Linked DNA regions of Oryza sativa Japonica Group. The main gene of each other region encodes a partner of the protein of the gene in region 2 in a complex. Links are inferred from orthologs where the notes say so. Each region holds a gene or a part of one and is shown on either strand. Other genes may lie near its edges. The genes, in order: plastid division protein PDV2; protein ACCUMULATION AND REPLICATION OF CHLOROPLASTS 6, chloroplastic.

Region 1 (4,162 bases), on a different chromosome or scaffold from region 2:
GGTTATAGGCAAAGCAACACGAGTTTTTACCTGCTGTTCAAAACAATGTATAACTCGATCGATCCTGTCAACTGTGCTGTAACTTGATGGAAACTCGTTCATCCATCTAGCTTAGTTCCTTCACTTGGAAATGGAATAAGTTATTTGGAAATAAAAATTAACCAAGTTCAGAAAAAAAGAACTGCCATTGCTGTTCTGCAGCTAGCATATGCGCACCAGAGTTTGTATGTAAGTACTGTAATACGCAGCTTCATTCCGTTGGCAGCAAACAGCTTAATTTCCTGTGCTTCACACAGCGATTCTACTACGACACATGACAGCGAAGAGATGAGATTCCTCGAAAGGATCGTCAGAAACATGTACTACTACCTTGTTTCCTCCTGGTGAGAAATTTTGTGCTGGATTCAGATTCTTGTTGCACAGCTTCGAAGGCACAGGTTGGCCCTTTTCGAGCCTCAATATGCCGTGCCTTCAGGACCTGACATAGACATACAATGACAGGTACTAACATACTCCCTTCGTCCTATCCTAAAATATAAAAGATTTGGTTGAATGACACACATCCTAGAATCTGAACATGCTCATAGAATATGCCACCCTCTAACCAAAATTCCTCAATTTTTGAGACGGAGAGAGTAAAATCGCCATCTATCCCTCCACCGCATCACCAATACAAGAGACAACATACACAACACATGAAACCAAACTGCTGATGACATAATACTGGTATCAACTGAGCAGCATACTGATGGAGTTCACCAACGAGGGCAATTAGCAAGACATGGACGATCATAGATAGATATAATACATAGGCTTCAATCTTTAGACAAGTGTGCTCGGCACATTCTACAGAAGATCATATAAAGGGCCTCAAAGACTAGCTAAATCCTAATATTGACAAAAGCCCAATTTCAGCCTAACCCATAACTTGCATTTGGAGAGGCGAGGTTGGTGTCGAAAGGTATCTCGACTCTTTCCTTCACAACACAGTGAGCCCTGCCATCTTCGAGAACCATTACTTTACCAGGAGGGCATTGGACAGTAGCCTGATCTTTTCCACTGGTTGCCTCCTTACTGAACAAACCTGCCATATCCAATTTTATGCTGTGTCTTCCTATCACTGGCTCGTAACCAGCAGCCTTCATGATAGATACAGCACCTACAACCATTACTGCAGTTTTAGCAAGCCATCCAACAAAAGATCTAATTCCTCCTTGTGAATTGCCGTTTGGCATGCTACCATTCCTGTTCTCCAGCCTGTTTGTCTTTGTAACATCTTGGTTAGTCCCACCAGAACCCAATCCGTTGTGCATACACTTTAACTTGGCCAAGTAACTTGGAGGATACAGATCATCAAGAACAAACGAATTGGTGACATGATTTGAGTACGGAGGTAGCATGAGACCATCATCATGTTCAATTTTTTCACCAGCAAAAGAAGCAGCCTCATGTATTACTTCACAGTCCTGCCCCTTGTATTCTTTGAGCTTGTTAAGAAGACATCCTCGGCTGCGATCAATCTGGCTCAAAATGGTCTCTCGTTCATATCTTTGTTGGTGTTGGAGGTCCTGGGAGTGGCAGCAAGTTGTTCAGGCATTTAGTATGTACTCCCTCCGTTTCACAATATAAGTCATTCTAGCATTTCCCACATTCATATTGATGTTAATGAATCTAGACATATATATCTATCTAGATTCATTAACATCAATATGAATATGGGAAATGCTAGAATGACTTACATTGTGAAACAGAGGAAGTAGAAAGCAAAATATTTAGCAATGAAAAATGGCAATCTAGATTGTAATAGAACACATTCAAGTCCTAACAATTCAATGTGATAGAAGAAGACTTATTTAAACTTAAACTCAGATGGAAATAAATAACAGAACTAAACAAACTCATGGGGATAATGCAATGGAAGCCAATCCTAGTTCTTAGGAAATTCACTAACACAAGCAATAGTAAGGGATGCATCTTAAATAGTTAAATACCAACCTAGTGCAGCAAAGCAAGTAAACAGGATTCACAAGTTTTACAGTTAAATTTGGCCATTTGGTTATAACTAAAAGTGAAAATCTGCATCCCAACAACTCATCACACCTCTTACCAGAAGCACCCTTCTCCCCCGAAAGCAGAGAAATTCCTAGCTAAGAAATGGCAGGTTTGGTATATGAGCTTAACTAATGGACAGCAACTTCGTTCGCTCTGCACACCTTGCACAGTCACTCCAGTCATACCCTGTTCCTATGATAATATCATTTGTTTTTAATCATTTCAAACTTCAAAATGCCCTTATTTGCAAGTATGGCATTGATACCTATCTATCTTTTCCCCTCTCATAAACCTTCTACTATGCGATTATTATAGATTTGCATCATTCGGAGTATATTATATAATGAAAAGTAATAATGCAGTACAAAATTACTAACCCACAATCTTCAATGCAAGCCTCAATCTCTACTAGAAAATGAGGATTAGCATATTTACACATGGAACGAAACACCAAGAATAGATATGAGATGAGAATGACCTGCAGAGAGGCGAGCTGCCGCTCGAGCGACTCGAGCGCGTTGCTGATACCGACCAGGCTCTCCACCTCCTCCTCCTCCTCCCCCTCCTCCCCATCGCACAGCCGCTTCACCGCCTCCCCGCCCTCGCCCTCGCCCTCCGGCGGCTCCCTGGCTCCGGCCGCGGCGACGCAGGCGGAGATCCTGGAGCGGAGGTCGGAGGCGCGGGCGAGGACGAGGCCAATCTCCTCCCCTTCCATGGCCGCCGCCGCCGCAAGCGGAAAACCCTAGCTAAACCCCCGCACGGCGCTAGGAGAGCGCAGACGCGACGCGAGCTGTGGCGGCGGCGCGTCGTCTTCTCCTCCTCGTGGCTGTGGTGGTGAGGAGGCCGAGGGCGTATCCGAATCCGAAGCTTTGCATGACACATCCGCCTGCAGGTGGGCCCCGAGTCGATGCTGGCCGTTCGATCTGATACTCTCGTGATGGGCTGCTTTGCGATCTGGTCCATCGGAACAGAACATTTTCATTATCATCCCTCTCTTGGATTTTTAAGGCTGTGTTTAGTTCCGAAGTTTGGGGAAAGTTGGTAGTTTGGAAAAAAAGTTGAAAGTTTATGTGAGTAGAAAAGTTTTTATGTGATGTGATGTGATGGAAAGTTTAGAGTTTTAGATCACCCTAAGCTTCAGTCCCTGTATTTTTCATTTTAGTCACGAAAAGGTCCTATCCACCGTCGCCACCATCAGCAGGAGCGCGCACGACATATTTTGTGTTCAATTGTCTGCAGTACTGCTGATGTAGTAGTAGACACTAAAGGCTGTGTTCTTTGCTTATCGTTGGAAGCTAATTACTCTCACACATAAAATAGAGTGACTTATTAGTACATGATTGATTAATTAAGTATATGCTATTTTTTTTAAAAAAATGTATTAATATGATTCTTTGTTTGGTGCATGATTAATTAAGTATATGCTAGTTTGGAAAACGTGCACGAGAAAAACGAAGGTGAGTTGGCCACTTGAAACACAACCCAAAGAACTCAACCTATTGTGTGGATCCGGACCCTCATATTATCCATTGCTTACTGTTTCAGCAATTCTGCAGAGGATCTGCATGTCATGTTATTGGATGTGGCGGTGACCACGAAACCCGCACAGATCGTAGAAGGAATTTGAAACGAAAGGGGGCGACTTTGATTTGCATATTCAAATCTGAATTTCTGAACTGTGTCTGGAACTGGAACTGAACTAAACGATACTTATGTTTCTCTTTCAGTTTCAGATTAAAGATTTGAACTGAACTGAACTGAACTGACACTTGGTCTCAACTTTCCTCTATTTTTTTTCCTCTCTGTATCTACAAAAATAAAAAAGAATTTTATCTTTACAAGCGCACAGATCACACTCTGCACAGCTCAATTAATCTCTCTCCCCCCCCCCCCCCACACACACAAACACAATCCTAGATAATTAGGTGTAACATCCTAGAACCAAATCTATCAACACATGAACTAATCATCTTCTTCTAATCTCACTCACTCAGACTCAGCTTGACACAGCTCAAGCCAAGCCATTCATGGCGGACGCCAAGATCGGTGAGCTAGGTGAGGTGGGGGAAGGCGAGGTCCCTGGCGAGCAGGTAGCGGAAGCTGTGGCGGT
Region 2 (4,274 bases):
TAAGAGCAGTGGCCAGCTAGGAAGCATGAAAAGTCAAAGTTTTAAACATCACCTCTTGCAATGATGCAACCGAATGTTCTGGTCCCAAGGCCTTAGATTTGATACTCTGCCACTTGCGAACAATATCTTCTGCCAGCTTCGCATCCATTCTAGGAATATGTACTGGATCTTCATCTAGTGCAGGATCTTCAACATTCATCATGCAAAAGTTAACTCTCTATGATATACATTACAGAATTATAGTAGCATTGTGTATGTATGAGACAAAAATATTTGATGTATAGCTTTGTTAAAACATTAATGCAAAGCTATAAGATCAAGAACATACTGTAATCAGCCAACAAGGATACCCAGTAAACACGTGAGCAGTAAATTCCAGTGTTGTTTGACTACTTTAGCAAATGAAAAGCATTTACTCACCATCAGTAGAGTCGACACTATTAGCAACTGCCACAGATCCATGCTCACTCCTAATAGCAGAAAGGGGCCTCTTACGAGGCAAATATTTGGCCCCAATTACTGCCAACAGTGCAAACAGTGCGCCAGCAGAGATAATCTTCAAGGCGGCATTTCTCGAATCATGAGCAGGTGCATTTTCCTGGTCAAAATTTTCAAGATATCCCCCAGGGCCATCTTTAGTATTTTCCATGGCTGACCTGTCTAACTGTTCTATCAATGGAAAAACCTTGTTGAACGCTTGAATAGCATTTGATTTCACAGTACCAAGTGCAGCTGTAGCTTGAGCACCAAGTTTTGCAATAGCAGCAGCAGCAGCCAAATGAGAAGCACCACCACCCTCCATCCTTTCTAGGTAGCTTAAAACTTCTGGATCATCGTAGTAATCTCCAAGTCTGAACTGCATGCCCCGAGTATCTCTGCTCCTAGGAAAAACCTCAAAGATAAGCCAAGTCTCCAAAAGCTTGCACAGCCCTGGAAGAAGATCATTCTCTTCACTGATGCTAGAGTTGGTCACAATAAACTCTAGAATTTTGGGGTCTCTGTATGGTGAAGACTCATTATCAATTCCAAGCCACATTCTGCACTTGCTAACATCTCCGACTAGCAATGAGCAGAATGCCCTTTCCAATGCAAGGTCCATCTCATTATCATAAGCATAATGAGAACCTATGTTGAACTTCTGGAGTTGTTCAAAAAGATCATCCGCCATCATGATGAATTGTGGCCTTTTACTTATAATTGCTTGAGCGACATGTGCAAGTGCTACATTGTAAATTTCAAACCATTCAGGAGGAATGCTATTCGGTGTTTTTGAAAAGAAATCCATCTGGGAGGTGTAACAGAAAGGGAGTTAACATGTTTTCAAAGATGTGCTCCTGCAATATAAATAGGCAGCTGCTTCATAAAAACAAACATGTACGAACCTGTTCAATTGATGTCATCCTCAAAAAAGCCTCGTTCATGAAGGCTTCACGAGAAAATCCTCCTCCAACGGTAGCAATACCTCCTCTGCCAACGCTCCACAAAATGTTTCTCGCACCTTGAAGCCCTTCTTGGCGCTTCTTATGATGCTCTGTGTCAATAGGAAGGGAGAGAAGCTCCAATACACAGCGAGGTGTAATCTCCTCGAGAGTTTCATCAATCTGTGAAAGCAGATCAGGTGCGAGATTGCTTGCTCCATCTTCCTACAGTATGAAGTTCCTATTAATATTGCTTCAAGGAAATCACCATTCTTATTAAAAAAATATAGCCCATGTGTCCCAAACCAATCTTCACAGGGTTATTTAATCTTATCCTATTCAAATATAAGCCCAATGAAAAAGTAGGGAGTAAAAAAGCAAACAGTTCACCTGCAAGAGCTTGAGAGCCCTCTCGAGCACCTCGCAGCAGCCAATTACATCTGGAGGGCTTGCTGCCATAGCATCCCTTGATAGATCCACATAAGCCAGAGCCATCGCTAGCACCACGTCCTGCTTGAAGCGCTTGGGTGGCCGATCCAGAAGCAACTGTTCTCCAGTTACAAGCACAGCAAGTGCCTCCCCAGCCTCCTGAAGCGCACACAACACACCTGGAACCTGCTTCACAAGACACCCAATATATTATAAGCAGAGAGAGATTATACACTAGTGCTATTTGACAAGATCCAAACACACCCTTTGCTGCCCCCTAAAGCCTCACCTTGTCCCAAGCAATATCCATGGTGAGAGCTTCTTCACGGTTCTCAGAAAGCGCACGATCATACTGAGTGCGGGAGTTCTGGTTCATGAGAGTGTCATGGGCAATCTGCAGCATTTGTCGACGACCAACAAGAGCATCCGTGCTGTAGCCATACTGCGGTGGCTTGGCTATCCGTGCCTCGAACGCCCTCCTGATGCCATCGCCAAGGAAATGTGGCTCTGCCCCTAGAACCTGAGCAAAGCCAGATTCAACAAAACATTTCGGAAATAGTCAAAAAGGCATGATCTCTCACTAGCCCCACACACACATGATATAGGCATAATTCGTATCATAGTATGCAGTGGATCACAAATGCGATGGATTCGGCATTGTAGTCAGTTAATAACCTAGTGAAGTGACACTACGGAAATAGCAAATAACTCGATTTCATGGAACTGAGGGATCAGTAACCTAGCAAAAGACTTGCAGGTGGAATAACGTTTCAACGATTTAGCAGTGACAATGTATCATCACCTACCAAGAAGGCAAGAATCATGCGCTTTTTTTTATCTACGGGATGATATTCCGAGGTCCAAATGATGAACAAACCGCAGCAGATTCACGGGGCCTCACCTTGTAGAAATCGACTTGGAGCGGGAGGGAGCGTTCGGCGGCGTCGGGGAAGAGCGGGACGAAGGGGGAGGCGGAGGGCGCGGCGGCCGGGGCCGGGGCCGGGGACGGCGGGTCGGAGGGCGCGGCGGTGGGGAGGAGGTGGAAGTCGGCGAAGAGGCGTTCGGCCCAGCGGCTCGCGGCGCGGCAGGCAGCGGAGGGGTGAGGCGGCGGCCTGCGGCGCGGGCGCGGGCGCGGGCGAGGGAGGGAGAAGGCGAATGGCGCCGAGTTGGGGCGGGCGAGGAGGTTGTGGAAGCCCTCCATTAGCCGCCGCGGCGGCGGCGGCGGAGATGGAGGGGGCGGAGGAGAGAGAGGTTTTAGGAGTGAGGGGGAGAAGAGGGGGAGCCTTGCTGGCTTTGGCCCTTGTTTTTTTTTTTGCTGTTGTTTTCTTGTTGCTGGATGATCTGGGTGCATGATTGGAGACTTGGGCACTTTGGGAGATTTTGCTAGGTCCAGTATTGAGACACCAATTTCAAAACTAATCTTGCTAAGTCTAATATTTTAGGGTGTGTTTGAAAGGAGAGGAAAGAAGAAGGTTAAGGAGATATGCAAAGCGAAGTGAGTCATTAGTGCATGATTAATTGAGTATTAATTATTTTATAGTAAAAAATAGATTAATATGATTTTAAAAACAACGTTCCTACTTAAAAAATAATAAAAAAATATATTGTTTAAAACTTCAGAAAGCGTGCGCGTAAAGAACAAGGGATTTTTTTTCAATCAATCAGATGCAAACAAACAACACATTATAACCTCATGTTCAAAAATAGACTACAGATTTAAGTCTCGGATTTTAAATTTTGGTTATATTTAATAAGCTAACAGGCATATGAGGAAAGGCTAGACTTTGTTTAAGAGCCAAGTTTTTTACTGGTTTGGAGTCGGGTGTGAAAGTGGAAAGGCTTGTTTAAAGTTGTAATCAGTTTTGGTTTGTTTAAAAGCAAGGTTCTTATCGAATGGTTGTTTGGGTTGAAGCTTTTTACCCAAAGCCCATCATCTTGCTAATTAGACTAAAGGCTTTCAAGTTTCAACCAAATATAAGCAAGAGATCCTTCATCAAGTCATTTAAAGGCAACTTTGGCTGATCAGTTTAAGCATGTTGATTGACACTTTTTAGATTACAATGCTACCAAGTGACAAGGATATACCCCCTCCCCCACCCCACAAAGTTGACGATGTTGGGCTATGATGGGATATCATCAAATCCTCCATCTAAAAAGTGGCAAACCATCAAACTCTCATGTTTCAAATGTTTTTTTTGGCTTAAATTTAGATTTTTGGGGGCTAGTTCTTTTCAGGTCAATGGATAAATTGATGATGAGTTATATTACTTCACAGTAATAATACTTGACGACAAACGAACGGATTAACTATTAAAAAACAAAAATATTGTTTTAGAAAATATTATAGGAGAGTGAAACTCATATATAGAAAACTTTTGCAACAATTACACTGTATAAAAACTTACGAAGTGTGTTCGTGGTAATTCA

The links.
Region 1: the proteins of protein ACCUMULATION AND REPLICATION OF CHLOROPLASTS 6, chloroplastic (region 2) and plastid division protein PDV2 are in contact, whole or in part, in a crystal structure (PDB 5GTB), measured with the Arabidopsis thaliana proteins. The link is inferred for Oryza sativa Japonica Group from reciprocal best matches to the Arabidopsis thaliana genes ARC6 and PDV2. Residues at the interface, in NP_199063.1 of Arabidopsis thaliana: Trp686, Gln687, Lys690, Phe694, Arg710, Met711, Ile714, Trp715, Arg718, Glu721, Thr722, Leu725, Leu727, Tyr729, Tyr731, Glu753, Leu756, Glu758, Ala760, Leu762, Asp764, Val766, His767, Asn770, Ala772, Thr773, Asp774, Arg776, Tyr778, Thr780; in NP_028242.1 of Arabidopsis thaliana: Glu287, Arg288, Val289, Glu290, Ile291, Pro292, Phe293, Asp294, Ala298, Lys299, Arg300, Asp301, Val302, Thr303, Tyr304, Gly305, Tyr306, Gly307.

What each region holds. Positions count from the first base shown.
Region 1 is NC_089041.1:1,208,967-1,213,128, forward strand, and holds plastid division protein PDV2, read right to left. Parts: upstream 2,881-4,162; 5' UTR 2,768-2,880; coding exon 2,531-2,767; intron 1,569-2,530; coding exon 912-1,568; 3' UTR 697-911; downstream 1-696. Other genes in the region: uncharacterized protein, read right to left, coding at 4,104-4,162. UniProt on the Arabidopsis thaliana protein: Component of the plastid division machinery consisting in a binary fission accomplished by the simultaneous constriction of the FtsZ ring on the stromal side of the inner envelope membrane, and the ARC5/DRP5B ring on the cytosolic side of the outer envelope membrane.
Region 2 is NC_089036.1:1,186,500-1,190,773, forward strand, and holds the start of protein ACCUMULATION AND REPLICATION OF CHLOROPLASTS 6, chloroplastic, read right to left. Parts: upstream 3,104-4,274; 5' UTR 3,049-3,103; coding exon 2,749-3,048; intron 2,368-2,748; coding exon 2,137-2,367; intron 2,034-2,136; coding exon 1,809-2,033; intron 1,644-1,808; coding exon 1,383-1,643; intron 1,286-1,382; coding exon 421-1,285; intron 187-420; coding exon 53-186; intron 1-52. UniProt on the Arabidopsis thaliana protein: Component of the plastid division machinery consisting in a binary fission accomplished by the simultaneous constriction of the FtsZ ring on the stromal side of the inner envelope membrane, and the ARC5 ring on the cytosolic side of the outer envelope membrane.